4 linked regions of the Notamacropus eugenii genome follow. The protein of the gene in region 1 interacts with the protein of each later gene in a pairwise test. Links are inferred from orthologs where the notes say so. Each region holds a gene or a part of one and is shown in the gene's direction. Other genes may lie near its edges.

Region 1 (7,483 bases):
CACTACATAAACATGAGTTAAACATAAACAGGTGTTATTTATTATTATTACATCATACTTATTCTCTATGATATTTATCTTGGTGGATATACATACGATATTTTCTCCTTCCCCCTTATTTTTCAGTTTAAAGTTCTTTTGATTAAAATCATTAGTTCTTGCCAAAACCAAAAGTACTGACATTATTTTTAAAAAGTATAGGGTTTTACACAAAGTAGTTTTTCAATAATTATTTGTTGATTTGACATGGATATTGACCTGGTCCAGAGTCTGTGGTCCACCTGTTTATAATAATGGTCCACAAATAATGCTTTTGAATAAGGTATTCCCTTCCTAAGCGATGTTCCAGTCCTGGGTCTCATGTCAGTCAAAAGATTCAAGGGAAATTCAACTGAATTGTCCAAACCATTCCATTATATTTGGCTTTTATTTTTAACTACACATATACTATTCTCTATGGTAAGTGGAATTCATCTTCCCACTTGAACTGGAAGTGTTAATTTGTTAATAGCTTCCCTAGGGTTTTGCATCTTGGTATGACAACTTCAATGATTTCATCCTAGTTTAAGTGTAATAAAACCTCATTTTATATTCGCAGGTATTAAAGTTCCTAAATGTCCTTTAGTCTGTCTGTTTCTCAGCTTTGTTTTGGTCAGAGGTTTTTAAAACCTTTAAAAGGACAAAGTTGAACACTAAGACTTGCGACTTTCAATTTAGGATGGGTCAGAGAGGAAATAGGGAGAGCAGAGGAAAGAAAGCAAAGGAAAGATGAGAATAGATTTAGTAATGTACGGATTTAGATGAAGGGTTGAAGACCTGATATGACACTCACAAACAAGACCTCCAGGAATGGTGAATTCACTACACTCAAAGGTAGTTCAATGCAATTTTTGGATAACTATAATTGTTAGGACTTTTGTCCTAGTGAACCTAAATTTTTCTCTTTGAAATTTCTATCACTCAACTGCCCTCTTGAGCAAAACATAAATTGAGAGCACCTCTTCTACACCACAGCCCTTTGAACACCTGAAGATTATGCCAAATCTTAATGACAATTCTTTTCCCACCTCTGTCAGTCTGTCTCTGTGCCTCCAGAGGCACCTTCCTCTATACCTCTCCTCTTAGAATCTTTTGTTGTTTAGTTGTTTCAGTCCTGTCCAACTCTTTGGATTTTCTTGGCAAAGTTACTGGAGTAGTTTGCCATTCCCTTCTCCAACTCATTTTACAGATGATGAAACTGACGTAAACAAGGTTAAGTGACTTGCCCAGGGTCACACAGCAGGTAAGTTTCTGAGGCTAGATTTGAACTCATGAAGATGAGTCTTCCACATTTCAAGCTCAGTGCTCTATTGCCACCTACCTGCTCTTCTTAGAATCCAGCTCCCCTCAAGGTTTTGCTCAAGTATAACCTCCTAGAAGAGGTCATTCCTAATTCAACCAGGTAGTGCTCCTCCCCAAATAACTTATTTTATATATATTTTGTATTCATTTATCTGTGTACATATTGCTTTCCCCTAGTAATGTAGAAACTTTGAATGCAGGTACAATATTTTATTTTTATATTTTCAGCACCCACCGCAGTACCTGCTACGTCGTAGGTGCCTAATAAATACTTTCTAAATTGAAACAGGAAGGATGGGGAGGATATAATAATCTCCCCTCATTCTAGACTAGAGGTTTTCAACCTTTTTTATATCATAGTCCTGTTGGCAGTCTGGTGAAGCCTAGGGACCCTTTTTCAGAATGTTTCTGAAAGCATAAAATACAAAGAAACCAATTATATTGAAATACAGTTACAAAATAAGACAAGTTCAGAGACTTCAAGTTGAGAACCTCTGTTTTATACACTAATCTTTTCTTAATGCAATTTCAGATTCCATGAGCTTTTTTTGGGGGTGCTGTAAATTCATATTGAACTGAAAGTCCACTAAACGCCCAGCTCATTTTTATATGCATTATCTAGTCATATCTCTCCCTTCCTGTACTTGTAAAGGCAATTTTTATTCCAAGTATAGAACTTCAGATTTATCTCAACTATGAGAGGTTCTCTCATTTAAACACCTCACCAAAATATGAGTATATGATACCTACAGAATTCTTCTTCTGTATAAATTTAATAGTCCTGTCAAAAATGAACTAAGGAGGGGCAGCTAAGTGGTGAAGTGGATAGAGCACCAGTGCTGGAGTCATGAAGAACTGAGTTCAAATATGACCTCAGACTTGATACTTAGTAGCTGTGTGACCTTGGGCAAGTCACTTAACCCAGATTACCTCATAAAACCAAAAAAAAAAAAAAAAGAATTAAGATTAGTTTGGTGGGAATTGTTATTTATTAACCCAGAGTGGCTGATATTGATCACTGCTGTACTTCCTAAGTATTCACAAAACATGGCAGAATCTTGCTAAGGTAGCAAGCATGTCCTGGCAACAGGTTGCCTGCTTGCCAAAAATCAGCCTACTTAAGTGCAGAGACAGTGATTACCAGTAGATGTACCACCAGCTACGGGACTAGCAATTCTTCTGCTGTGGAATTCTTCTGCTATGGTAATCCACTAAAGCAGGGAAGGAAGGAACTGAATGAAACATGGGCAACTGTCAATCATTGTACAGCAGATATCAAACACATCAACATTCCCGAGTATCTAGAGGAGAACTAGATGAAAACATAATTGGGTAGTAGTAAACAAAATAAAAATACAACAGAACATAACATCAAACGGGGTTTCCTAAATAAATATGCAACCAGTAGGGATCTCTTTTTAAATATGCTTCTGTATGAGTTTGACACCTCTTCCCCGCTACAGTATTGTCTCCTTGGGTGGGGTCCATGGTGAAATATGGTGCTACTATTCATCACCATGCCCTCCCATCCTCACTAGCCTTTAAGGCGACTAGGGATTTGTTATACCTGCTGTCCCAAAAGACCGAGAGCCGGCCTTTTGGGACACCCTGTTCTGTAACCCAACTATTCCTCCACCTAAATGCCTCTTACAAAATCATCATAGATCTAGAAGGCACCTTTGACAGAAGAGAAAATTGTGTCCAAGGAGGTTGTGACTTTTCCCCACCAACCACCCTCTCCCCTTTCCTGTCTCCTTTCGTGTGGTCTTTTTTTCTTTAGGTTGTAAACTCACTGAAGGCAAGGATTGTCTTTTTTATTGTGTCTGCATGCCTGGCACATAGTAGGTACTTAATAAATGTTTATTGTATTTATTGGATTGGGATTAAGTGACAGAAATGAAATTTGACTCCAGTTTCAATGATTTTAACCACTAATACCATTGTGGCTCTCTCTCTAGTGCTGCACATCCCAAGAGGTATACAATTATTTTTTCCCTCTCTCCCAGGGGATGTTATGAAGAAGAAACAAACAGTGTCCTTGATGTGCTCTGTGCTCCTTAGAGATGCCCATAATAAGTCTAATGAAATGCTTATTGTTTATTCCCTTTATTTTGATATCATTACGCCAGTCTTTTGCATCTGCCTTAGGGATTTGGTTCTTCACCAGCAACGGAGACAGCTAATGCAGAACCTGAGGGATGACAAGTTTTCTCAGGACGACCCTCAATCCACATGTGTTCTCCAAATTCTGGGGCCACCCAGACCAAGAGGTCTGTAGTCAGTATTCGGGGCTCAGTGTCAATGCTCTCTACCCTTTTCAAGACCGTTGGTTCATTTCATATGTAGTCATTTGTGGACAGGGGAGATAACCTCTAACAGCTGCTTAAAATAAGGGCTCTCTGGTTCAGGAATGTGAGAGTAGGAGGCGGTTTGGGGGTGGCGGGGCATACCAGCCTTCCCAGGACTGAAGCAGACAAGAGGGGAGGACCCCCCCAAGACTTGGAGTCTCTAAGGAAAAGGAAAGAACCAGCAGGATCCTGGCCGTGAGGGGGAGGCTCCCCATGGAGCTTCCAGGCCGGCGGCGAGGGAGGGGGGGAGGTTGTATGAGCTGAGCAGCGCTCTCCAAAGCCGGGGGGAGGAAGACTCCCCCTGCCCCGAGCGAGCCCCGGGCCTTGGGCGGGCGGCGGCAACGCGCGCGGGGCAGGGAGGTGACGGGGAGGGCGCGAGCGCGGGCTTAGAGCGCGAGCGCGCGGCGGCCGCGGCTCGCGGGAAGCTGCTCGGTCCGTCCGTCGGTCCGTGGGTCCGTCTGCCCGTGCGGCCTCCGCCTCCTCGGGATGGCGTGGGGCCGGGGGCCGAGCCCGAGGAGCGGCCGGCGGGCTCGGCTGGCTCCCTCAGCTCGGCCCCCAGGGGGATGGCGGAGGCGGGGAGGGGGGTGGCCCGGGGCGCCGGTGCGAGGGCCGGCTCCCCCCAGCAGGTGGCACCGGGGTCCCAGGCAGCGCGGGCGCTCCCTCCTCCGCTCCTTCCCCTCCTTCCCTCCGCCCGCCCCGGCGGGGGGGGGTGGGGGGGTGGCGAGCGCCTCTGACCCGGCTCCCCCGGCTCCGCCGCCGCCACCTCCTCCCGGCCCGACCCGACCTGCTGCCGCCTCCCTGGCCGCGCATCGCCGCCCTCGCGCCGCCGCCGCCGCCTCGCGGGGAAGGAGCAGGAAAAAGCGCCCGGCGCCTGCCCGCCCCTTTCCCAGCCCTCTGCTCCCGGGCCGGCCCCGAGCCAGCCCCGGGCCAAGTCCGGCCCCAGCCGAAAGTTGTGGCGGAGGGCGGCGGGCCCGGGCTCGGCAGCTTCCTCGCCTTGTCTCCGGGCCGGGGGCCCGGGGTGCGGGGCTGGGGGGCGAGAGCAAAGTGGCAACTTCTCCGAGGGAAGCCTCCAGCCCCGCCCACGCCCGGGTCCGAAATCGCCCGGGGGGCCGGATCGATTTTGTTCCTTTACATTATTCTTACTGTTGTCGAGACACGGACCTGGGTCCTCCCGGCGGCTGCTGCTGCTGCGGCCGGGTGACCAGAGCCTCCGCCGCCGCCTCCTCCACCTCCTCCTCCTCCTCCTCTCCCTCCCCCCTGTTCCTCCCTCTCTCTGTCTCTCCTTCTCTCTCTCTCCGCTGCCACATTCCCTTCCTCCTTCCTTCTCCCCAGCACCATGGAGTTCTCCGAGAGGAAAAGAAGCAGGAAATCCCAAAGCTTCAAACTGGTGAACCAAGGTAAGAAGAGAGGGACGTGGGGGCGGGGGGGCGGGCAGAGGGGGGGGGGAGAGAGAGGGAGATAGAGAAGGAGAGAGAGAGAGAGAGAGAGAGAGAGAGAGAGAGAGAGAGAGAGAGAGAGAGAGAGAGAGAGAGAGAGAGAGGTGGGGACCGGCTAGGGGGCTTCTCTCGGGTGGGTGCCAGAGACTCGGAGAAGGGACTTGACCAGGGTGTAAACATCCCCCCAGCCACCAGCGCTCTCCTATCCCCTCTCGCCCTCTCCCTTGTCATTTCCCTCATCCTCTGTTATTTGTCAATGCAATTATGTATTTTCAAGTCAGCAACTGTATCTTTAAAAAGGGTTATTGTTATTATTTTTAAAAGAACCCGCTCGACAGCGGGGGCGTTTTGGTGTGTGTGGGGGCAACGTTGATGCTTGGCGATGAGACCACTGTACACAAAATAAAGTTGTATGGTTAAGGGGGGGAGTCAGGATGTTATTGAACGTAAACAGCCCAAAAAGCGAATCAGGAAATTAGCAAACAATGACACTTAGGGAGCAAAAAACCTTCTTGTGCTTTCAACTACTGTGGCCAGGTTTGGGAAGTGGGGTGTTTGCTTTTCAATTTTAGAGGTGTACAGAAGTCTGGACGAATGATTCTTGTCCCTAAGACCAAATTCTTCCCCCCTCCCCCCCACCTCCCTTGTCGGTCCCTCCCCCCCACATGAAAGGTTTTGGTGTGATTTTTCCTTCTTTCATTTCGGAGGAAAAACAATGCCATTGCACAAGGAAAAATTGTTGCTATCTAACTTGTTGGGTTGTGTGATTGGTTTAGGAAAACGTGTTTAAAAAGAATTATGCATCTAGTGAAAATCAATTTTTAAAAATCCCATCAAATTTCTCAATAATTTAACAGGTGTATATCTCAACTGCTTGGGTTTAGGCTATTCAGAGGGGAGAGGGTAGTAGTTGTCCAGTTGAGGATGAGTTACTTGTTAGGATCTTATTTTTTTCTAATTTGGCTTAGAAAAGACTGAGAAGAATTAAAGCCCAAGGCAAAAGAAGTAAGATATATCTGTTAACCAACTTGTGACTTGTTAGATTCGAAGCAGGTGATTAGTACATTGTAATGTCACATTTCTCTTTTGAGGGTTCAGAACACCTATTTTCCTTAAGTCTCTTTTTTGAAACAACCTTAAATTTGAACAAACACAAAAACTTAGAACCGGTCTGTTTTTCCTCCGATGTTTTATGGACTATTGGGGGTGGGAGCAAACCAACTGTTTTAAAAATTCTAAAAAGTCATCATATAGACTAATGAAAAGTAGAGGGCTATTTGCAAATAACAGGGTTTTTTTCCTAATTAAACCCCAGCTAAACTAAATGTTAGTGTGGAGCAAATAAAGCCTACTTTTAGTTTGTTTGAAAATTCATTTGATTATATGTTTTCTTCTCAATTAAACTGATTTAAATAGTTAAGCAAGTGGATAGAATTTGGTGAAAGGGGTTTTCAGTCACTATACCTATTCAGAATATTAGCTTTTTGATTCTTTGTAACTTTGCTTCACTGAGTTGATTGCTCAGTTACTTGAACTTTTAAAAGTTTTTTCATATATAACCTGCCATTTTGGGGGGCTTTATTCATTCAAGAATATATGTTACTTCTGTTTTTTCTAACTTTAGATAACTTATTACCATATCTTGAAAATGAGAGTAGTTGTGTAGGTGTTGGTCTGTAATGTCCAAGGGCACCCATAAGTCATGAATGTAAAAAGAAATCTACCTTTAAGGCAGATAGTTAGGTGATCCCAATTTGTAGGAACTTTATCAAAACCGCATGAGCCTCTACAGAGAGGCTAGTGAAATTCTGTATTTTTAAGTTGGACTGACATAGGAAGTTTATAACAAATTCTGAGTCTGACTCTTTGCTATGCAGGTGCATTTTCAGAAAATGAGCCACTGCATATTAAAGTGCAGTAGCTGTATGCAAAAGATACCCTTATGTGAAAGATGAGACCCTGGCTTCCATATTCAAATTTCACTCTACTTAAAACAACAAATGAGTATTTTTCATATGAGCTTCCTTTTAGACTTTCAATTCCCAGTATTTTTCAGTATTAATTGTTAAAATCAAGGGTGTTGTCACTAACTATTGGGAATGCTCTTAATATGTCCTATACAAATTTAGTTGTATAGTTCAATGTAAAAGACTTCTATGACCTGGGATGCAGCACATTTTCCCTATTGGTTATGAATTTACTTGCTGAGGTTTAGAAAAAACATTTGAACTTTCATGCTGACATACTTGTCAGTGAAACCTGACATATATCAGGCAAAGTTATTCTCAAAAATCTGTGAATATTTATTTTGTACAGTTTCAAAAATACTGATAAAATTCTTGGGTGCTGCTATAGTGT
Region 2 (6,718 bases), on another chromosome or scaffold:
ATCTATAGCCACCCTTTTTGTGGTAGCAAAGAACTGGAGACAGAGTAGGTGCCCATCAGTTGGAGAATGGCTGAGTAAATGCTGGTACATGATTATAATTACAGCCTATTACTATGCTGCAAGGACATTGAAAACGGAAGCATGGGGAAATTTATATGAACAAGTGCAGTTGTTGTGTTTGTCCTTCCTTCTGGGAGAGGACCATGACATCAACATGACATGACCTGCAGTTGATTTTGATTTGAGTGAGGGAGGGCTGTGCAAGGTCACCAGCCTCATTTCTCCTCCAGAGTCATCAGGACTGGAGATGGCCCAGGAGGCAATGGGAGACCCTGGCCCTTTCAGGATAAGGTCCTATCACATTCTCACTTTGAGTGAGATACAGCCATTCAATGAATAGACTTCTTTAAGTGGTTGGTCAAGGGATGGCCCCTTTAACTAAAAAAAAGCATCACACGGGGAGGTCAGACCCCCCACAAAACAGCACATGGGGAGGTCAGACCCCCCCACAAAACAGCACACAGGGAGGTCAGACCCCCCACAAAACACCACACAGGGAGGCCAGACCCTCCACAAAACAGCACATGGGGAGGTCAGACCCCCCCCACAAAACACCACACTGGGAGGACATACCCCCCACAAAACACCACACGGGGAGGCCAGACCCCCCACAAAACACCACACGGGGAGGACATACCCCCCACATTCCCCGCCCGGGCCAATTCTGCCCTGTCCTTTTAGCCTCACACTGTAAACAGTGTTCTTTTCTGCATCTATTCAGAGCCATGATTTGGATTTTAGGGTTTTTTCAGCATTTTTGTAGGGTTTTGTTGATGACTGCTCTTTGCAGTAGCACTGCTTTGATTGTCTTGTGAAGTTACCTTGTCAGGAAAGGAAAAGGGGGAAGTTCTAGGTTCTGAATCAGCAGGGAAGGGCTTGCTGAGCCCCTCACAACACGTATTACACCTTTCACTGGGCCCAACAATCAAGGGCCACATTCCTGCCATCTGGGGCTCTAGTAACTTACTCAGGGTATGGGGGGATGTGGTTTGGTCAGCTCCCTGTCAATCTCCCCAGGTTCAACAGAGAAGGGACCTTGTCCAGCTACACCCAGAGTTCTAGATGGCACCAGTCAAAAGTATGCCAGCAACTGGTAGCAGGGTGGGAGGGGGCGATGAAAGTGTCAGGCTGGGCTAAGCAAGGGAGCAGAGTGGGTGCTCCGTGTCAGTGATGGAGCCCTGCCCCATCCTCACCTCCCAGTGAGCACGCCCTACCTGGGATTTCTGTAGGCTCAGCATCAGATAACACCTTCCCCTTGGGCATGGGACAGCAAGCTGCTGGCTCACCCATTGCCACAAGTCTCCCCAGGACTCTCTTTTGTTCTGTCATCCTTTGGCCAGTCTCACCCTTTCCAAGGGTATGCTCTGGGGTGCCAACATCACAAATGGCCACAGGATCCCACCAAGAGAATACAGAGATGACCTGTCATTGCTCCTTCTTGCCTCATATGAACCTAACTCCAGCCAGTAACTGGGAAGATAAACAGATATTTGCCTCCTGGGCCCCTACTATGTGTCTGGCCACCTGTGCTTGCAACCTCAAGAAAGGATCAGTCCTGACACTTTGCTCAATCCCTCTAACATAGTCACGGAACACGACCACACATGAAGCAGAGAACAATATAGAGCAGTGTCTAACAAACACAAAAACTATGGTGCAAGCATATGTTGTAGGTTACAGAAAGGTGAAAACTCAGTGTGGGCTGGAGTAGTCAGGGAAGGCTTCCTGGAGGTGGTGGGAGTCAGGATGACCTCATTTAACCACAGGGACATTCCTCCCTCACCATGGAACATAAAAAACCAACCTCCTCTTTCCTCAATCATAGAATCCTAGGTACACTGGAAGGAGACACCCTAATTGACAGAGGATGAGGAAGCTGTAGTCCAGAGAGCGAATTGCTTAAAGACATACTGGTCACAACAGAGATAGAATTTAAACACAGGACCTTTGCTTCCAAGCCACCTAAGCACAGTGAAGAGAGATGAGGCTGGAGGGGGCGCCATAACAGATCAAACTTGTTCATAAACTTCTCTCTAGACAGTACATTTATCACTTTCTTTGGGCAGATGATGTAAAGCAGTTTTTTCCCTTGTTGCAACCGCCAGCTTCTCCCTGCACTGGCTCCTCCTAGGCAGCGGGGCTAGTTCACTCTCTGGGTACTCTCCCAAATAGCCAGGTGTTTTCTTGTGCCTGGAATGTTGTGGTTAACACAGGAATGGTGTTCCTTGCTCCCTGCAGTCATTCCTAGGCTTCACCAGAAGCATCCCTGGGAATCGAAGGTGGACAGCTGGTCTTCCACCCCCATCTAACCCAACACAGGAAACCCGATCAGCCGTCCCTGCAACCTGGCAGATGGCTCCCCTCAGCAGGTGATCAATGAGCCACATCCTGGACCAGGCCCAATACTAGCCTCTGGTGACATGCCCTTCTTTGATACTCACTAGACTACTCTGCCTATACCGAGGCACTCAGGCACAGCAGCTGAAACCTCAGCCCTAGGAGGAAGTCACAAAAAACCTTTCCCCCACATAACTAAGGAGCTAGGACACCAACATATTTGCCCAAGTCCCAAGACACCTACTCCAATGACCTGAAGATAGTCATGGGATGAGTTTACAGTTTGGGTTAGTATCTGATAAGAGCGGTGTTCTTGAAGGAAGTGGCTGCTTCCTGATCCAACATTCCCCCTTGTCCCAATTCCTGTTCACGTAACTAAGAACAGATGTCAAGGCTGATGACTTTATTGGTTTTAAAAAACTCTTTACAATGGCAGTGAACATCCCTCTACCAAAGTTACCCAAATGGCATAAAAGAGATCAAAAGTGGGGGGTTAGGGGGTAGGGAAGCCACTCCAGAGACCCACCCAGGAAAGCTAATAACTATCGCCACTGAAATTTACAGGACCAGGAGGCATGCTGAGGTGTGGACAGGGAGGCTTGAGTCAAAATAGTGGTGGAGAGGGGAAGGTGTCCCAGGTGGGGGCGGCAGCAAAAATCTTTCCTTCTGTTGGGAGGTGGGAAGGGAGAGAGGGGCAGGATTTCCCACTTGGGGGTGCTAACTGTGAAGACCCATCGGAGGGGGTAAGGGGGGCCGGCCCCCAGGCACGGGGCTCACAAGAAGGCGTCACACCATTCTCGAAGGCAGCCAAAGCAATCCCGAGCCTGCTTGGCATTGGCCCCACAGGTGTCTTTCAGCCACTCTCGGAAGAGGTCTTCGTCTTTTTTCAGCACCAGGAACTGGCCCAGAACCACGTAGGCCTGAAAGAGACACAGAGCCAGAAGGCTGTGGGCAGGCCACCTGGGAACGAGCTGGGGCCGAGTCACCGCCCACCCCTCCCCTTCTAAGGGGCTGATAGCGCCCCCGGGCCCAGCTGTGCTCGCGGGATCCGCCCCCATCTCCCAGGAATGAATGCGCAGGCCGGCACACACAGCCCGGGGCTCCCGGGGGTCACCCGCCCTTCCTTTCCTCCTCCGGGGCCCCACAGCCACGCCAGGGGTCGGCGCCGATCCCCACCCTGCCTCAGTCTTCCCTCTGGTCCCGCGAGGGCCCCGGACCTTATCGAAGCCCTTGTCCTCGAGCTTCTTGCCCAGCACTTCTCCGATGCCCGCCAGGCTCCCCACGGGCTTCTCCCCCATGGGCTCGGCCACGAAGTCCCGGTGCTTTTGGGAGGTCGTCATGGCTCCTCACCACAGACCTGGGGCGGACCACAGGGAAAGCACACGCTCGCCTCCGCCCCAAGCCAGGGGAGCTCCAGGCACCGCGCCCGCGCAAGCCCCGCCCCCTCCGCACGTGGCCGCCAGCCCCAACCCATGGCCCCGCCCCCTCGCGGGCCCCGCCCCCTCAGCCCCCGCGTCTGCCTCCCCGCGTTCCCCGGCGGGAGGGGGGAAGGGTCATCACAGCCGCCCGGGTCTCCCCCGACTCGCCCCAACCCTGCCCACGACCCTGGCGCTCGTAAGCCGCGCGCACGCCCACCGGCTCCGGCTCCGGCTTCTGTAACGGTCACACTACCACTTAACCGGCCTCTCCCGCCGCTGCCTCAATACCGCAAGGCGCGTGCCGGCTTCCGCTTCCAGGTTGTCAGAGTCGTTTCCGGGTCAAGGGCAATTTGAAGGGAGGCGGGAAGGGGGGGCGGGGCCTAAGGCAATGAGGCGGAACCGGGGAAAGGGGAGGGGAAGGGAGGGGAGGGGAAGGGAGGGAGGCGAGGACCAGGCGCATGCGCGTCTGCGGCGGAAGCGTGCCTCAGGATGGTTCCCAGGGAGACGGCGCCGCTCTGTTCTCTCTTCTCTATGGCCAGATCTGGGGCCGCACTCCTCCCGGCGCGGGGCGTGGAGTGGAGGGTGCTCACTACACGCGTGGCGCTTGCGGAGGCTCCCCACTCAGCCCAAGACGGGGCCGGCAGCGGCAGAGGCGGAACTAAAGTGCCGGGGTCTGCGGTGCCTAGCAAGGGGAAGATTTAGCCGGGAACACCGAGCCCTCTTTTCCCCCTCCCCCTCCCGAAGCGAGCACCGGAAGCGTGGTCTCCGGAAGTTCTCGGCTCGGGCTGGCGGTCTCGGCGGAGGCTGCGGCAGTGGCCAGCGGGAAGGTATGGTGGCAGAGGGCCCTGTGGAGGCGGCGGGGCCCAGCCCCGCCGGCTGTTTCCCGATCTTAGGTAGCAAGGGTTTCCGGCGGAGGCTGGAGACGGCTCGTCACCCCTCCCCCCATCAGTGTCTGGGGCCGGCCCGCGGGACCCAGACCCCCGTCACCTCCCCCTCGACCATCCCAGAGGCGTCGGGTTAAGCCCGGGCTGCACCCGGTCTCCGAGACCCTCAAGAAACCCCTAGCCAGCTAGTGGGATCCCGCCCCGGCGGGTCACTGACTCCTGTGGGGGTCCTGACCTCCACAGACTCGGAACCAGCATGTCTCAGACCACCAAGCGGAAGCACGTGGTGCAGGAGGTGCTAGGGGAGCACATGGTGCCGTCAGACCAGCAGCAGATCGTGAGGGTGAGCCCCGGCCCCCCGCCCCCCTCCCGGGATCTCCCGGCCGCTGCACCCCCTCCCCCAACACGCTCTCCTCCGCCCCGGGCAGGTCTTGGGGACCCCTGGCAACAACCTGCACGAGGTGGAGACGGCGCAGGGGCAGCGCTTCCTGGTCAGCATGCCCTCCAAGTACCGCAAGAACATCTGGATCAAGAGAGGTAAGGGGGCGGGGGCAGAGGCCCGGCCCTGCCCGGCTGCCAGGCCTCACCCGCGGCCTCTCCTGCAGGAGACTTTCTCATCGTGGACCCCATCGAGGAGGGCGAGAAGGTGAAGGCCGAGATCTCCTTCGTCCTCTGCAAGGACCACGTCCGCTCCCTACAGAAGGAGGGGCTCTGGTAGGGCCCGGGGTCCTGGGGGGAGGGCTCACCTGGCCCGGCTCCTCTCCGCCCCCTAAATCCTTTCCCTTATTTAGGCCTGAAGCCTTCTCAGAGGTGGCAGAGAAACAAAACAGCAGAAGCAGGTGAGTGTCTCGGCTGTCCCCTCTCCTCCCTCCAGCACAGGCTGCTAGCAGGCCAGCACCCTCTTTGGGGTGGACTTGTCTGTCCAGCTGCTTGCGAATGCTAACTAGGGAGGCAGCCCCAAGGCTGTCCATGCCCAGCTGCTTACTTGGGGCTAGCTTGCCCCAGTCTCACGTGTAAATGGGACTGATGTTTCTCAGGTTGGGGGGGATCCTGAGCTGTTCCAACTTCTGCTTCCTCGGCTTGGAATCTGGAAGTGCTTCTGTCCTGGGTATGGCTTCCAGGAGCCTCTCTCACTCATCCTCCTCCCTGCAGACCGCCTCAGCCAGAACTTCCAGGAGAAGCCCAGTCTTCAGAAGACGACAGCTCTGCAGATGACTCGGACCTTTTTGTCAACACCAATCGGGTGCAGTACCAGGAGAGCGAGGAGGAGAGTGAGGAAGAGGCCTGAGATTGCAGCTTCCTTTCCAGCCGGAAGCCTAGTCCTATACCTTGACCCCACCTCCATGGACAGAAATGGGCTTGCTCTGTGCATCCACCCCCTGGCTGGGGATGAGGCAGGGCTCCCATCTGGACTCCTACTCTTCTCTGTAAGAGATTAAACCCCTGGTGGGTTGAGAGCTGTGGTTGACTTGTACCAGTGTGCCTAGTAAAGCAATTCCGACTTTGACTTCTCACTCCGGTGCAAAGGAGGGACCAAAAACTTGGGTGGGGGGCTGGCTACAGTGCTAACCAGCCACTGGGGGCATTTCAGAATGGGCTCCAGGACAGGCAATACCTAGTTCCACCACCCAACTCTCTGTCCAGCTCTGACTCAAGGGAGGAAAATGGAATCATAACTTAAACAAGGGAGGAAAAAATAAGGAGGGAACTTTATTTAATATTAAAGGACTGAGGATACGAGACATCTTCACTTTGTGATGGTGTTTCTGTGGAAAGAAGAGACAAGAGATGAGGGAGGGAAACAGACACAAGTGCCTCTCCCTCCCCTGTCCCAAGGCCCATCCCCTGCTCACGCATTCATGCTCTTGCCGCTGCCACTAAGTACGATGTACGGGGTCTTCTGGGCTTTCTGTTTTTCCTGGAGCAAGGCCACTGTGCCCAGGGGTGTGTCACTGGAGCTCATCTTTTTCAAGAGCTGTAACAAGGGGACCCCTTATGCTCAGTGGCCACTTTTACAAA
Region 3 (7,929 bases), on another chromosome or scaffold:
TGTTCACCCTGGGGCTTCATTTCCTCCCCTTCCAAAAGGCTTAGGCTCACCAGGGGCCAGCACCCTCAGCCCAGCCCAGGAGATCCCGCCTACTCCCCTGCTCAGGCTTGTGCAGTCCAGCTCCCCACTTGCTCTCAACCTCCAAAGCCCGCACCTGGAGGGGCTCCCCGGACCCTGCCATTCTCTCCCAGCTCCAGCTGCCTTCCCGCCAAGAGCGCCCGCCAAGAGAAGGCAGCCCGCCAGGGCGGGGACAGAGAAGGCCGGTGCTCGGGCGGAGGAGGCCCGGCCCGGCCGGTGGGCGGGACCGGGAGGCGGAACCGGGAGGCGGAAGCTAAACCAGGCGCTGCCTGGAGAGAACCGGTGGTAGTGGTCACATCGCCTTCAGTCCCTTCGTCATGCCATGTGGGATCACTTGGCTAAGTTACCCGAGTGCTGGGCCATTTCCTTCTCCAAGACCAAGAAGGTTAAGTGACTCGCCCAGGTTCTCAGGGCTAACGGGGCTGAGCTCAGATCCGACCTCAGACAGAGCAATCTTCCGGATCCCGGTCCTGGGCTCTACACACCTGCCACTGGACAGAGCCAATGCGGAGGGGGCTAGGGCGCCCTCCGCCACGGCAAACCCTGCCTGGGCAGTGAGAGGGTGTGCGGGTCTGGTCCCGCAAAGCGACATTAAGAGCTCGGCTTGTGCACTTCGTCCCTTTGTGTCTTAGGCAATCTTACAGGACCTTGGTTTACGTCTCATCCAAATGGAAGCGCCCTCCCCTTTGTCACTGGGTTGTCACGCTTTGAAAACCTTAAAACAGCATATAAAGATGAGCCTGTCAGTGCAGAACTGCAGATTCTCAGAGTTGAAAGGGACCTCAGTGTCCTCCTGGTCCAAATGGCACCTGAGAAATGATTCCTTCTTCAACACAACCGACAAATGGCCAGTTGGCCTCTGCCTGAAAGTCTGCCCTTGGAGGAAACTCAATGGTCCAAGGCAGCCGTTACACTTTGGGGTAGCTCTAACTAAACACCAAGCTAAATTGGCCTCTGCAACATCTGCTCATCACTCCTATTTCTGCCCTCCAAAGTGAAGAATAAGACTGTTTTCTTTTAGAAATGATTGAGAATTATGAACATGGCTGTAACAACCCACTCAAAAAAGTCACAAGAACTCAAAGTGTGGCTGTCCTTTTACCTCTCCAGGTGAAACATCCTTCAACAGGCCTTCATATAACGTGATAATAATGTAATATCATTGGAACCTCAAGGGCCAGAGCCTCAACTAATCAACCAGAAGAAGCAACAGATCTAAGTAAACGCTGAGAACGCCTCCGTGTCAACAAGAGCTGACCTGAGCATTCTTCTATTAATGCCTACCAAGGACAGCGGGCCTTAAGCAGACACTACCTAGAATAAAGGGACTTTCTCTTATCTTAATATTTTATGAACATATACTGTGTTATATCATGTTAATGGTAAAGAAAACAGATATCCTGGGTTGTAATTTCAATCGACACTTTGTCAACTCTCTTATCTTATTGTATTTACAACCTATTCAATTAAGAAAATTCCTTTTCTCATACTATGGTTAAACATATATGGAGATCATAAATTCGAGAGACATAGACATGCTGAGTTGAGATTGCTCTAAAACCTGTTTAAGGCTGGTCATTCTTTTATCAGTCAGAAATCATGTTTTGGCTCTGTGTATGCATGTATCTGCTAGCTAAGGAAATAAACAATATGAATTTCTATATCACCTAGCCTGTTTGGGTCTTTTAACCAAACTTTCAAGTGGACACATGAAATCGAGGCCCTTCACCATGTTGTTCTACCTCTACTGGATCAGCTTATCAATGTCCTCCCTGAAATTATGTACAGTTTTGTGCAGTATAATGTGTTTTGATGCCCCAAAACCACAGGTAATAGTCCAGGTTTGGTCTGAGTAAGGCACAGTAAAAAAGTAATTGGCTTTTAAAAAATGTTTATAGTAAACAATTGTATTTTGGTAACAGCTCAGGTTTAGATATATTGAGTTTCAAGTGTCAATGGAAAATTAGGTAGAGGTATTCTGTAGACAGAAGGAGATACAGATCTGGACATAGAAGAGGAGTCAGATGAGTTATCTCAGTAAGTGGAAGCTGAAGTGGTGGGATTAATCAAATTGCCAAGGGAAATAGTATAGAAATGAGAGAGGGCCAAAAATATAAAAATAGGCAATACCACAAAGAGGAGAAAGAGACAGTGAAAGAAGTGGAAAAACCAAGAAAGTGGTATCCAAAAGGTGGTAGTCAACAGTGTTAATATCTAATGAGAAGAAAAAAGCTTTGATAAACCTGTTAAGCAAACAGAAAATGTGATCTAAGTATTCTTATAAATTATTTTAAAAATTGCAAGGAAAAGAAATATTTGTTCCAATAATGGAAAAAAAAAACTTTTTTTAAAAAACAAAAAAAGGGGAAGAAATTAGTAGACAAAGTTCAGTGGGTTTGAATATGCAAGAATAAAAACTTTGCACAAGAAACTAAAAAATATCTAGTCTAAAATAAAAAGAGTGAGGAAAACAGATTTGTAATGTATCTGATAAAGATTTATCTTCCAGAACATATAAAGAACTGATAGACAGCTATAAAATTAATTTACACTCCCCAATGAGGAATGGCCACAGGTCATGTAAGAGACAGCAAAAGTTAAGTTTCCACAGAAGTTATTATTAGTTGATGAAGTCAGTGAGAATTCAGATAATAAGCCTAGCTGACTGTAGGTGGACTCAACCAATCAAGAGACAGACAGTGGCCTTCAGAAAATTACAAAGTTTCAAATCTACAGTTAGCTGGAACTAGTCAGGGAAAAATGACCTAGAGTTACCAGGAGAAGGCTTTTCTTCACTGAGTTTGCTTAATGAACCTCAAGTATATAAACAGACACTCTCGGCATAATATTATCCCTCCATTTTCTGATCATGGGTCCTATGTTAAAGAATGTGTGGGAGGGGGGATCTCACCAGGGGTGCTTATGTAATGGGCATTTAGAGAAGATCATGACCTAATGGACAATGGACCAATCCGTCTCTTGATGGGATGATCTGTCCTGAGCTAACAGTATAAAGCCAATCTCACTTATGTATCTGACACTCACTCCTCCCCAAAAGAGGAAGGAGGCCCGCTTTGGCCAACGTGTTCAATTCCTCTGAACTCTGCTGCAATAAATTTCCCTTGATACTTTATTAGTGTCAACAGGTCATAAACAATTTTTGAAAAAAAATACAGGTTAAGAACTACATGAAAAGATGTTCAAAATCCCTAATGATAAAAAATGGACAAATCAAAAAACCTGGAAATGTTTTTTGTGCAGTGTGCTCTTGGGCAATTCACTTCCCCTCTAAGCCTCATGTTCCTCATTTATAAAATGAGGGAGTTCTCTTCCAGCTACAGTCATATTCCTTATAACCATTATATTGCCTGAAATGGTAAAAAAAATGATAAAACTTCAGTAGGACACTGTAGAATTCAGTAACTCTGACAAAGCAGAAAACATACATTATTTAGCCAAAAATTGCTGGGAAAACTAGAAGGCAGACTAGCAAAAATTCGTCTCAGATCTATTCCACATTACATTCCCTAAACGTCATATCTACCTTCTGATTAGTCCTGATTTTGAAGTACAGCTGAGAACGATTTCTGAAACGGGAAAAATATCCTTCTCTCCCAGTCCTCTAATCTAAACAACAGGCCAACAACAGGTGGTTTTATTTACTGGTTTGTCTGGGTCTAAAAGCGTATGTTTTATGCATGATTAAAAAACCTTCTAGAATCACAAGGTCAGCTATTGTGTATCAACAAAGCAATCAAACTCTGTGTTCAGCAGCCTTTACATTTAAAGATAGAAGATCTGGTTATAATCCAAGGCTAAAACAATTACCAGTTTTTAAACTGCCCCTACTGCCGCCCCACGGCACTCTACTGCTCACCTCCAGCTCGAGGGTACCTGGAATACCCTTTCTCATCAGCTAAGCTGAGTCCTTTATTCCAAAAGAACACAATCCATTCACAAATCTGCATTATTTACTTCTCTTAGATGCCAGAAAGCTAGATTTTCCTTCACTTCTTTGCACCCCCTTCCGGCGCTCCCCAACAACAGATGCGCAGTAACTACGGGCTTATGGACCGCAGTGCAAACGGACGGAAGGAACACAATAGGCTCCAGCTGGACCGAGAAGACGGCATTTGGGGCCCAGAGGCCTCCCCTGCCTCCCTCCAACCTATTTCTCAACACCCGGGGACCCCCTGGTGGGAATGTAGAGATTTGTGGTGAAAGGGTGGGAAGAGGCCCTGACTTTCATGGTAAAGGGGTGGGATAAAATCAGATAAAATATTAAGTGAAAGTAAAAAGCTACAACAGTCAATCAAGGAACTTGAAAAGCTGCAAACATTCAAACCAGTTAAATCCAGGAGCTCCCGGGCCACCCTCGCTCGCACCCTCCACGGAGGCTCTCACCCCCTACTAAAGGCTGCTCCTGAGCCTCAGCCCACCTTCGGGGTCCCTTCCGCCCTGGATCCTCTGATCTGGAGTGCCGGTGGCAGGGCCGAGGCTCACAACCCAGCCGTCCCTCACGCTCGCGGCCGTGGGCCAAGCCGAGGACGCAACGCCCTTCCACTGCGCAAGGGCCTACCCCACCTCTCGAACCAACGAGAAACCACCTCCCACTCCTCACACGCGTGTTCCTTTCTGACACCCCTAGTCCCACCTGAGATTTCCACTCCCTTCCTCCGAACCCAAGGGGAAAAAGGGCGAGGACACTTGGGAAAAAGCGAATTTCCCGCCCGCAGGCGCAGGCACCGCCCCGATCTGCAGGTCACGTGACTCGACGCCTGCGCACTGACAGCCCGCGCGACTCTCCTCCCCGGGCCGTCCCCCTAAGTCATCCACGATCCCACAATTCACCAATCAAGCGCTCTGTGGTGCACTTCCGGTTCCTCAGGGCTCCCGGACTCGCTGCTACATCCGGAAGAGAAGGGAGGTCGTTGTACGTTGTCTGTGTTGACTGTTCTTCGTCTCAGGTTCTGGAAAGGCAGCCGCCGCCGCTATTGCCATCATGTCGGTCCCGAGCGCCCTCATGAAACAGCCCCCCATTCATTCCACGGCTGGGGCCGTCCCCGTTCGCAATGAGAAAGGTAAGGGGCCCAAAACCTTCCCGCCGGGTTTTCTGACAGCCAGCGACCCCCCTTTTTCCCCGTGCTTCGGTGCCCTGCGACCCCCGACTCCTACCCCCCCAAGCACGCTACACCAGAGCCGGCCCCCCCAATTTCTGGCTTTCCTTCGGAGCTTCCTCCAGCCTGTCCCTCATCGTTACCACTTTGACCTGCCCTTCATCAGTCTTCTCCTGAGCCCCATTTATGGGTCATGAAGCCAACTTTACTCCCAGACCTCCTTCTAACCCCAGCCCTCTGAGTCCGCGGTCCTCACCGCAGGGACTTGCACACACCCCGTCCTCCTCCTCCCCTCGTTCTGCAGGCGGACGTTGATTGTCTGGGTCCGATCATGAGTGTATACACTTATAAAGTAGAGGAACCTTGCCCTCAGAAAGCTTACAGTGTTACTGTAAGGGGGGAGGGAGGCGGAGAAAGAGTGACAGGATGAGTTGCGTGCATAAATGCATACGTAAATATTTATAATACAAAATAAGTGTCCTAAGAACGGCGCTGTGGCTAATTAGAGAAGGCAGCAAGGGGGAGGATGAATTGAGTAATAAAGGATGGACACGTTGTGGTGTGGTCTGTAAATGAATAAACATTTATTAAGCCCCAGCTGTGTGACACACGCTGTACTAATGGGTGGGATTACAAAAAGACCAAAGCCAGCGTCTGCCTTCAACGAGGTTACAATGTAACGGGGAGACAACGCAAATAAAGAAATTGAACAAGCTATGATACCAGATAAATAGGAAATTGTTAACAGAGGAAAGGCACTGAAATTGAGAGGGGTTGGGAAAGGCTTCCTGTAGAAGGTGGAATTTAGTTGGAACTTAAGCTAGGGAAGTCGGTAGTCAGAGGGGAGGAGGGAGAACATTCCAGGCGTGGGGGACGATCAGAGAAAATGCCCAGAGCTGAGAGATGAAGTGTGTTGTTGGTGGAACTAGGAGACCAGTGTCACTAAATCAAGGAGTACTCTTTGGGGAGGAAAGTATAAAAAGACTGGAAAGAAGGAGGTAGGAGGGGGCTCGATTATGATGGGCTTTGAATGACAGAGCATTTTACATTTGATTCTGGAGGCAATAAGAAGCCACTGGAGTTTGAATATGGGGATGGGTGGCATGATTGGACTTACCAGTGGCTGAATGGAGGTCATACCTATAATAGGGAAAAATCTGAGACGGGCAGACCCACCAGCAGACTATTACAGTAATCCAGGTGTGACGTGATGCGGGCAGCAGAGTGGTGGCAGTGTCAGAGAAAAGAAGGGGACCATATTCAAGAGAAGTTGCAAAGGTGAAATTGACACAGGTCTTAGCACCAGCTTGGGTGTGGGAGTTGAGAGATAGTGAGGAGTCCAGGATGACTCCTGGATTGCTAGGTTGAAGACCAGGGAGGATGAGGTTGCTCTGTACATTTGTGGCCCGAGTGCGGAGGGGATTAAGAGTTTAGGGGGAAAGATAGAGTTCCATTTTGGACATAATTTGAGTTTAAGATGTCTACTGGACATCCATTTGGAGATGTCTGAAAGACAATTAGAGATCCAAGATTAAAGGTCAGCAGAGAAATTGGGGTAGGTAGGTAGTTTTGAGAGTCATCAGCACAGAAGTGGTAATTAAATCTATGGGAGCTGATGAGATCAACAACTGAAATGTAGAAAAGGGTCAACAAAGGAGACAGAGAAGGAGCAGTCAGATATGAGGAGGACCAGGAGAGAGTAGTACCCCCAAAACCTCGAAGAGAACATCAAGGAGGGGAAAGTGATCAACAGTGTCAGAGGCTGAAGAGAGGTCAAGGAGAATGAGGATAAAGAAAAGGCCATTGCATTTGGCAGCTAAGAACATTTGTAACTTTGGAGAGAACAAGGCAATCATGGAGCCATTAAAGGTTGGAGGACATTGAATCAATTTTGGAAAATTCATCTTAGATCAGTGTGCAAATGAATTGGAAGGGTCAAAAGCAAAAAAACAAGGAGGCCAGCTAAACAATTACAGCAGTCTAGTTAAGTGCTTACGTTGGGACTGAGCCAAGATGGTGGAGGAGAAGGACAGACCTGCTCTAGCTCTATCCCCATATCCCACAGATAAGGGATTAAACTAGGATAGAAGTTGTAGAAATGGAAATGAAGGGATGAATTCAAAAGATATTGAGGAAGGAAGAATCAAGACTAGATGTAAGGAGAGGGAAGAGTTAAAGACTACTTTAAGGTTTTAAACCAAAATGATAATAAAAATAGGAAGTCAGGTAGGGGTGCAGCTGAGGTAACGAAAAATGATTAGTTTTAGACATTGATTTTGTGGGGCTGGCAGAATGTCTAGCAGCAAGTTAGAAATGCAGAACTTTTGCTTTCACCTAATACTTCCACTTCCTCACCACCTTTTCTATCACAGCTGTGCTTTCAAAGGCCCCCGCCCATCCTAATCACCAAATCAAATGTCAGTTTTTGGTCCTCATTCTCCAAGAGCACTCTGCAACATTCAGTACTTGTTAACCAGTCCCCTCCGGTATAATAGCTCTTTCTTCCACTTACCATCAAAAATGTCACATTTCTGTTGTGATGAAATAAACTACCTCTCTGTTTCCTTTACTAATTCTTCATCTCCCTGACCATCTATTATAAACCCTCTTCTGTTCTTTCTTCAGTCTTTCATCTAATAATCTCATTCACTATTACCTCTACATAGATAATAGCCCTGAGTTCTAAACACATCTTTTTGTCTACAGAATCTCTACTTTTGTAGTAGACATCTCA
Region 4 (7,436 bases), on another chromosome or scaffold:
ATCAACACAAGGTCCTTTTTGGAAGGAGGGCACTCAGGAGAGATCAAGAAAACTTCAAGTACAAGATGGTACTTGAGCTGAGTGTTGAAAGAAAAAATCATTTGTGTATATTCTATCTCCACACCAGACTGAGAACTAGGCCTGTTATTTAATCTTGGCCTGTAAAAAGCAATTAATGTTGAATTCATTAAACAAGCTACTGTGCAAAAGATAGTATGTTGGGCACAGAGGGGAAGACAAAGACATGGTCTTAGGCCTCAAAGAGCCTAACTGTAGAAATAACTAAAATAACTGTACCATAACATGTGATCATACAGTTCTACTGACCAGGGTCCACCTTCTCCCTGAACATATTAAAAGGGTAGAGCAAGATTTTCTTGGAGGTAGGTTATTCCCTCTTCCAATGCAACTTCACTGGCTGAACTATGTGCTTGCCCCTTCCCTGCCCCATAACTGAATTGGCTTGAGGTACAGTGATAGCTAGTTATGTTCTTTATGCAGTAAATTTAACTGATGCCTTAAAAGAATAAACTGGAAATCTCCCACTAACACAAAAAAGCAACTTGAAAACATTTTATTTCCCCAACAATTATTTGTACTTGTGATTGCTATTAATATCAAAGGAAACATGCTATACAATAGCATCTAAGATTTCAGTTGTCTAAGATAAAGGCAAGGCCATTTGTGGGGAAAGGGACAACACAGTAGAGGAAATAGGTAAAAATCTGAAGATAGATTTTAATGGTATTTAATATCACCCCTTCTTACCTATGATGCGAAAGGCTTTAATGCCTTCACAGGAGCTCAGTGGTAGAACAAAAAAAACCTAACATTCATGCTGCACTTTTACTGCAGTACTGGCATGGTGATGATTAATGTGGCTTTCCCTCTGACAAATTTTGCTGTAGTTGTCTCAGTGTCAACCAATTCTGGAAGATCTACCTGTAATCGGTACTTCTCAGAGACCTCAATCACTAAGTCATCCTAAGAGAGAATCATATCAATTGAATAGATTTGTTTTTGCAATCTAGAAATAGAATCTATTCCTGATATGACATTGTTATCTCTTTCTCATCTTACCTTAGAAACACTAAGGTCACAGTCACAGACAGAACTAAGACCAGGAAGTTCAACTTTCATCTCAATTCTCAGTGATCTCCCATTCTGATCCTTCACAGATGTCAGCTTATAATTTGGAGTCTTCAGCTCAACTTGGAGCTCACTACTGGAAATTTCCTCAATCAGACACCCTTGTTTGCTTGGAATATGGTCCTTTGGCAGTAAAAGTTGTGGAATGTCATCTTGGTTATTCATAGTACAGTTTCTTAACTGCTCAAGCGTTAGTTCTTGATGTAAAAAAGGGATATATTTCAGGTTACAGTAATTAAAGTGCAAGAAAGTACTATAAAACACTACTGCATAGAGACTACATATTAATATTTTCTGTTGTATTTTTGTTCAACATTTCCCAATTACATTTTAATCTGTAGCTTGTGTGCCTCAAATTAGACATCTCTGGGTTATAGTAATCTGATCTTTTTCATTTGTTCTTGCTTCAGAAATAAGATTTAAGTTTAATTTTCATTTGTATTGATAAGGGAATTTACATAATAATAGTTTTCACTAAAAATTTCCTTACCTTTCTTCATTTTCTCACTTAAATCTGTTGAGTCAGTTTGGATTCCCATCAAATTCTTTTTCATCTTTTGGAAGCTTCCTTTCTTCCAGGTTTTTGTAATGTGATAGGAATGAGAAAGAGTAAACTGATGTTGCTCCTCAATGCATTTCATTGTCAAGTGAATCAGGTGATCCATTTCCATTTCATTATCTTTTGCTTCCTTGAGAACAGCAGGGTTATAGGCAACATTGATAACTGTGTATGATTCTAGGTAGTTTAAACAGTGTGGAATTAACCGTTATTTCTGTAATGGCACCATCAGGTAACAATGTTAACCCAATAGCCTGAATTAAGCTAAGGCACCCTCAAAACAGAATTTCCATTATAGTACTACTGCACAAAAAATTCCCACTAGAACTTCTTGTTAGAATAGTAACTGCCCCACTATTTAAGAAAATTAACAGCTTATGTATATTCAGTTAACATTGGAGATAATTCTCCAGTATGCTTATTAGAAATTAAAAAATTTGTATTAGAAATACAAAAAAAAGTACACTTTTGTTGCTAAAATCTATTAGGTGTTAGCTACTTGCTAAGAAAATAGCTTTGATACTTTATATACCTGATGTCTCAGATACATCTTCTGGCTTGCCAACGCTCAAAGGTACAGGTTCTGCCTTTGACTGGGGTGCTGGGATACTCATCCATTGACATAGGTTGATGAATAATACTTTTTCTTCTGGTTTCTAGGAAATAAAACATTTTCTTACTCTTATTATTATTGTGTTCACCACTGAGGAGGCACCTGGCAACTAGCATTTTTCAACTACCTCCTAGGTATTGGTAATGCTTGGGGCTGATTCTGTGTAGCTGATTTGCATTATGTGCTCCTATTATTAATGAGAATGGAGAGAGGACAAATTGAGTTGGCTTAGAAGCCCTTAGAAAATTTGAGTGTGATCAACTGAGGAAGGAAACCTCACTTTTCCCTTTAGATTGGAAGTACTACAAATATGGAGTGAAGGATCTCTAAATTAAGTCAGAATATTTTCACTCTTTTCCCTAAATTGGGTAAGAAAAAAGTTCTAGAAGGGGTACTCAATTTTTTGAAGAGAATCCTTTTTCTTTGAATTTCTGTAATGTGGGTACAGAAGCAGATGAGAACTTCAAAGTGTAGCCAAGAAAAGTTCATGGTCAGAGGAGAGCTGAGTTATGAGTGCAAAGCAGAAGACAGCAGCATAGAAAGAACTCCAGTGCATAACACCACAGGCACAGTGCAAGAGAATCCTAGCTTTTGTGCAAGTTGGCAAGGCAGAAAAGAGATTGGACTTGAATTCATTAAGAGAGGGTTCAAACCCTGTCTCTGACTCTTCTGAGCTGCATGTGGGAAAGTTAGGGTTAGCCTAGCCCCACTGAGCTTCAATTTCCTTGTCTGTAAAATGGGAATGTCAGGTTGGCTTTGAGGCCTTGGACCAATGGAGATGTTCAGACTGGATATTGTACTTATACATATTTCAGGTAGGAGATAAGATGATTTCTAAGGTCCCTTCCAAGTCTAGTATTCTGTAATTCTTTGGTTCTGTGTCTTGTTCCAAGTGAGAATAAAGTATCTGGTTTCTTCTCCATGTGCAAGAACCAAGCCTACTTATGGTGGTTCTTATTTTATTTTTCAGATAGTTAATGGAGCCTGACTTGGATAAAAAGACCCACATGGAGAAAATCCCATGGATGCACCTGCTTTTTTTCCATTCAATTAGCTGGGAAACTCCTGACCATACCATCTCTGGTACCACCACTCAGTTTCTTATTCTGGAGCTACAGTTCCCTTGGAATACTGCTCTGCGGTAGAAACAAAGATGTGGGCCAGAACCATTCCGTCTGAAATGTACGAACCAAGATCTTGGTCTGCAAGGAGAGCTGGGGCTCAGGGGCAGCGCAGCGTTTCTCCCCTTCCTTCAGCTGCCCTTGAATGAATTTCTCATAACGTTCAGGGTCACTCTCCGCCAGGTCATCTAGCAGGTTCCACAGCTGAGTCACTTGGGTAAGCCAGCCTCTTGGTGAGGACTCCATGACCTGGAAGCGAGAGGGTCTCCCAGGCTGTGAAAAGACATACACCCCGCTGAGGAAAGGTCACCCCCTAGGGCTACTGCGCATCACAAAGCTGTGGGCCTTTGGACACTTCCCCGACGCGGAGATGCGCGAAATCTCCTAGGGCACTTATCAAAATGAATATTAAATAGTGCGCATGGCCATCCCCCTCGCTGCTCCCCACAGCGCCCATCTTGTCCGCTCCTAGGGCCATCTGGGACTGCCGTCTGCGACCACTTCCTTCTCTTGGTGGGGAAGGGGGAGGGCTCCGCCCCGCCCCCGCCCGGGCTCTGCCTCCGGCCCCTCCATGCGGGGGTGTCCTCACCCGGAGGCCCCCCCCACCGAGCCCAAGGCCGGGGGGCGTTCACTCCCCAGCATCTCCACGCCCGCCCCCCGGGAGTCAGAGCGGTCTCCGGCTCCTGCCTCAGTTTCCCTACACCCGCCCCCAGTCTCCTCATTTCTCCGTACGCTTTCTCCTCAAGATTCCCTGGGAGGGGGGAAGGGAAGGGGGCGTGAAGCTCCTGACCCACCGCCTCGGCCACCTGCCGGGGAAACAAGCAGCGTGCTCCGACCGAGCGACTCGCCAGTCCGAACGCCGGCGCCCCCGCGGCCGCGGTTTCCAGGGCAACCTACCGCGGTGCGACGCCTAACTGGGCTCGGAACCTCCCAGCGTCCCCGCACCCTTCGCGCGCAGTTCCGCGGCCAACTTTGGCCCACACCAGGTTGAGAGCCTGTCCGGTCAGCCCCGGTCTGGCTTCTCCGGGGTGGCCGCCGTCACGCCGATTCCCCTAGAGCGATACTTTGTCTCCCTTGGCCCAGGGAGAGTCCCGAGAACTCTCGTGGGAGGGGCGGGCGGGAGGGGTACCGTGCTTCGGAAGGGGAAGTATTTCTCTGGACACTCGGGAAGCACTTCCTACTTCCGTCGAGGACTGGAAGGTGGCCCAAGGCTCTTCGCTCCCCTGTCTGCCCCGGGACGCCGGAGCTCACGGTAGGGGGGCGGGGGTGGGCGCGGGGCTGCAGGGCCCGGATCCCGGCCACTGAGCCGCGGTGTCCCAGCCGCTTTTCGACGGAGGGACTCAAAGCGTCCTACGAACCTCGGCGGAGTTTGGGAGGGCAGGAAAGGGCCGGAGCTCCGGTGGGGGGGGACCCCGGGTGGGCGGCGACCCTCTCCCCCCACCCCCAAGGCCTCCAGGGAGGGGCGCCCGGTCTGGTCTGGAGAGTCGGGTCGGGATCCAGGCAGCTGCGGTGGAGAGCCGGCCCCTGGGCGCCTGCGGGCCGTCTGGCCCTGACCCCATTGTGCAGACGCGCAGACTGAGGCCCGGGGGGCGAGGCGTTAAGGTCTGACGTGCGGTGGGATGGGGTCGTGAGTGGCTGGTTGGGACTCGAACCGGGCCCCGGATTCCGGAGGCTGAGCTGGCCTGGCTGCCCCTCGCACCTCGGGCACCGTGTTTCACGTGTTTTTGGAAAGTTGTGGGGCGGTGATTCTGTGTCACACTCTAATAGCTGAGTGATTTCTTGGGGGGTTTTCGGGCTGTGGTGGCGGCCTCGTGTCCTCGACGCCGTACTGTCCTTGCAAACTCTGAACTCGTCCTTTAGTGTCTTGGGCTCCGTGTGCACAATAGGCCCAGAAAATTCTGCTGGAGGGAAGGCTGGACTCCCGCTGATATGCGTAAGAGTTACTACTGACCACCTACCTACCCCCCACTCTCGCCGATCAGAGTATGTGCTGCCCAGCAAGCCCAGAGGGCAGGTCAGGAGGGGTGGTCTTGTCTTTGTCACTGATTTATTTACCTTGGACAAATAATTAAAACTTTGGAATCCAGGTTCTTGAATTGTCAGGGTTAAGGATACCTGTTCCTTATTTCATGGACTCACAATTTGTCAGAGCTGAAACCACTTTAAAGATTAAGTCAGTTTCTTCATCTGTAAAATGAGAGGGTTGGATTAGACAATATATTCAATATATTCCTTTCAATTCTAAATCCTGTGACCCTAACTTGAATTTGATCCAACCCCCTCATCTTGTAGATAAGGAAACTGAGGCCCAGAAAGGGAAAATTACTTACCCATCTCAATGAGTTGTGAGACTCAGGTGAAAGGGATGTGATATATTTGAAAAATATACAAATGTAATGTATGTAGGAGATGTTATTCTTATGATGGTGTTTCTACACATTTCAGATTAAAAATGTCCCGGATCCCTCTGGGGAAAGTCCTTCTGAGAAATGTCATTCGGCACACAGATGCTCACAATAAGGTAAGAGGACAGCAGTGCATTCCCTGGCAGGGCTTCCTTTAGGACTCCTCAATTCATAGTATGTTGTTTTATAATGTAGAAGGCTGTTAAAAGAGGGATATAAGCAACAGCAGAGGAATATGACTGTGTGACTAGCCGGAGAGTAGGAGTGACTCTGGCATCATGCCAGCCCTGATCCTCTTGGGGGCTGAATTTGTGCCTTCCTGTAAAGAAACTACTTTAACAGTGACACTCAGGCATTTATTTTAGTACCTCCTCCTCCCTTCTCTATCAGCAAAGCTTTCATTATCATGAGCCCACCATTGGTGAAGGCAGAAGTAGGCTGCCTCTGACACCAGGGCTCTCTCTTTCTCCAGCACTTACTATTATTCCCTTCTCCACCACCAGATGTGGAGAACACTATCTCCTCAGCCCTCTCTAACAAGTGCCTGCACTCCAGGTCTCTGCCATTATGATCATATCCAGAACCAGAACCTTCAACACCAAGCCAGACCAGGAGTCATGTGCATGCTTTATATGCAGGGTATCTTCTGGGTGTGCATCATTGCCCAACATGTTGGGATGAAGCAAAGAAACTGGTGCTGATTGTGATTACAGTCAGTCCCCTTCAAATCTCATCACCAGGTATTTGCCTCCTCAGCCTCCTTACAGGCTTAGCCTTTTCTTCCATGATTTTTGAGAGAATAAGATCTAGAGTTCTCTTCCATAATCAGAGGACCATAGTGGAACAAAGCCCTAGTCATTTGTGTTCCCCCAACCTATCGCTAGCAAAACTCCCTTAACTTCTGCTAAATTGAGAAGCCCTTTGTCTTCTACCACTTATTTCACTCTCATCACTTTCGGGCTCAGCCCAGCCTCTCCCCAATTCCTGTTCTTCTCTGCCCTTCTCTTCCGTACAATCATTAGCCAACTTCCCTTCATTCCAGACTTCTCCTTTCACTCCCTTCCCATCTTCTTGCACTCAGAGAAACTGAGCTTCTTCTGGAAGACAGCATCCCTAGTAACCTTCTCCAGGACTGATGCTCTTTCTCCTGTGCCCCTCACTATACCAGGCCACGAGGAGGGTAGGCACACTCTTTTTCTTGACCACTTTGTCTTTCTGTCATCATCATTCAGTAGGTTCTTCTTCTTTCTGGGTCACTCCCTCCACAGGATACATTGTGAGGCAGCAGCAGCACAGTACAATGGAAAAAATACTGGATTTTAGTCAGCAGGTCTGAATTCAACTCTGCTATCCCTCCCATCTTACCCTGGGAAATCACTTTACTTCTACCCCTTCATCTCTTCATTTGTAAAATGATGGGGTGAGGCTTGTAGCCTCTGAGATTTTATGATTCTGTGATCTCTAATAGAGACCTAATTAAGTTCTCTTCCAACTTTAAAGCTAGGATCCTGAATTCTAAAGATGTTTCAGATCTTTGTTGCAGTTGTCTGCTGGTCTCCAATTATTCTTTCCCATTTTTTTAAGTTGTC

What was found.
Region 2: the proteins of BEND7 (region 1) and EIF1AD interact in binary tests that used the Homo sapiens proteins (3 or more experiments, as listed by UniProt). The two-hybrid records come from large-scale screens. The link is inferred for Notamacropus eugenii from reciprocal best matches to the Homo sapiens genes BEND7 and EIF1AD.
Region 3: the proteins of BEND7 (region 1) and MFAP1 interact in binary tests that used the Homo sapiens proteins (3 or more experiments, as listed by UniProt). The two-hybrid records come from large-scale screens. The link is inferred for Notamacropus eugenii from reciprocal best matches to the Homo sapiens genes BEND7 and MFAP1.
Region 4: the proteins of BEND7 (region 1) and NKAPD1 interact in binary tests that used the Homo sapiens proteins (3 or more experiments, as listed by UniProt). The two-hybrid records come from large-scale screens. The link is inferred for Notamacropus eugenii from reciprocal best matches to the Homo sapiens genes BEND7 and NKAPD1.

Annotation. Positions count from the first base shown.
Region 1 is NC_092874.1:168,216,382-168,223,864, forward strand, and holds the start of BEND7 (BEN domain-containing protein 7), read left to right. Parts: upstream 1-4,475; 5' UTR 4,476-5,025; coding exon 5,026-5,086; intron 5,087-7,483.
Region 2 is NC_092873.1:18,668,673-18,675,390, reverse strand, and holds EIF1AD (probable RNA-binding protein EIF1AD), read left to right. Parts: upstream 1-4,506; 5' UTR 4,507-4,642; intron 4,643-4,942; 5' UTR 4,943-4,955; coding exon 4,956-5,042; intron 5,043-5,127; coding exon 5,128-5,236; intron 5,237-5,304; coding exon 5,305-5,413; intron 5,414-5,490; coding exon 5,491-5,538; intron 5,539-5,851; coding exon 5,852-5,987; 3' UTR 5,988-6,206; downstream 6,207-6,718. Other genes in the region: BANF1 (barrier-to-autointegration factor), read right to left, coding at 3,171-3,317, 3,615-3,737; SART1 (U4/U6.U5 tri-snRNP-associated protein 1), read right to left, coding at 6,447-6,465, 6,553-6,674.
Region 3 is NC_092878.1:54,058,406-54,066,334, forward strand, and holds the start of MFAP1 (microfibrillar-associated protein 1), read left to right. Parts: upstream 1-4,908; 5' UTR 4,909-5,080; coding exon 5,081-5,159; intron 5,160-7,929. Other genes in the region: WDR76 (WD repeat-containing protein 76), read right to left, coding at 155-181. UniProt on the Homo sapiens protein: Involved in pre-mRNA splicing as a component of the spliceosome.
Region 4 is NC_092876.1:142,134,585-142,142,020, reverse strand, and holds the start of NKAPD1 (uncharacterized protein NKAPD1), read left to right. Parts: upstream 1-4,426; 5' UTR 4,427-4,694; intron 4,695-5,887; 5' UTR 5,888-5,894; coding exon 5,895-5,963; intron 5,964-7,436. Other genes in the region: PIH1D2 (PIH1 domain-containing protein 2), read right to left, coding at 847-984, 1,081-1,346, 1,640-1,885, 2,241-2,364, 3,512-3,688.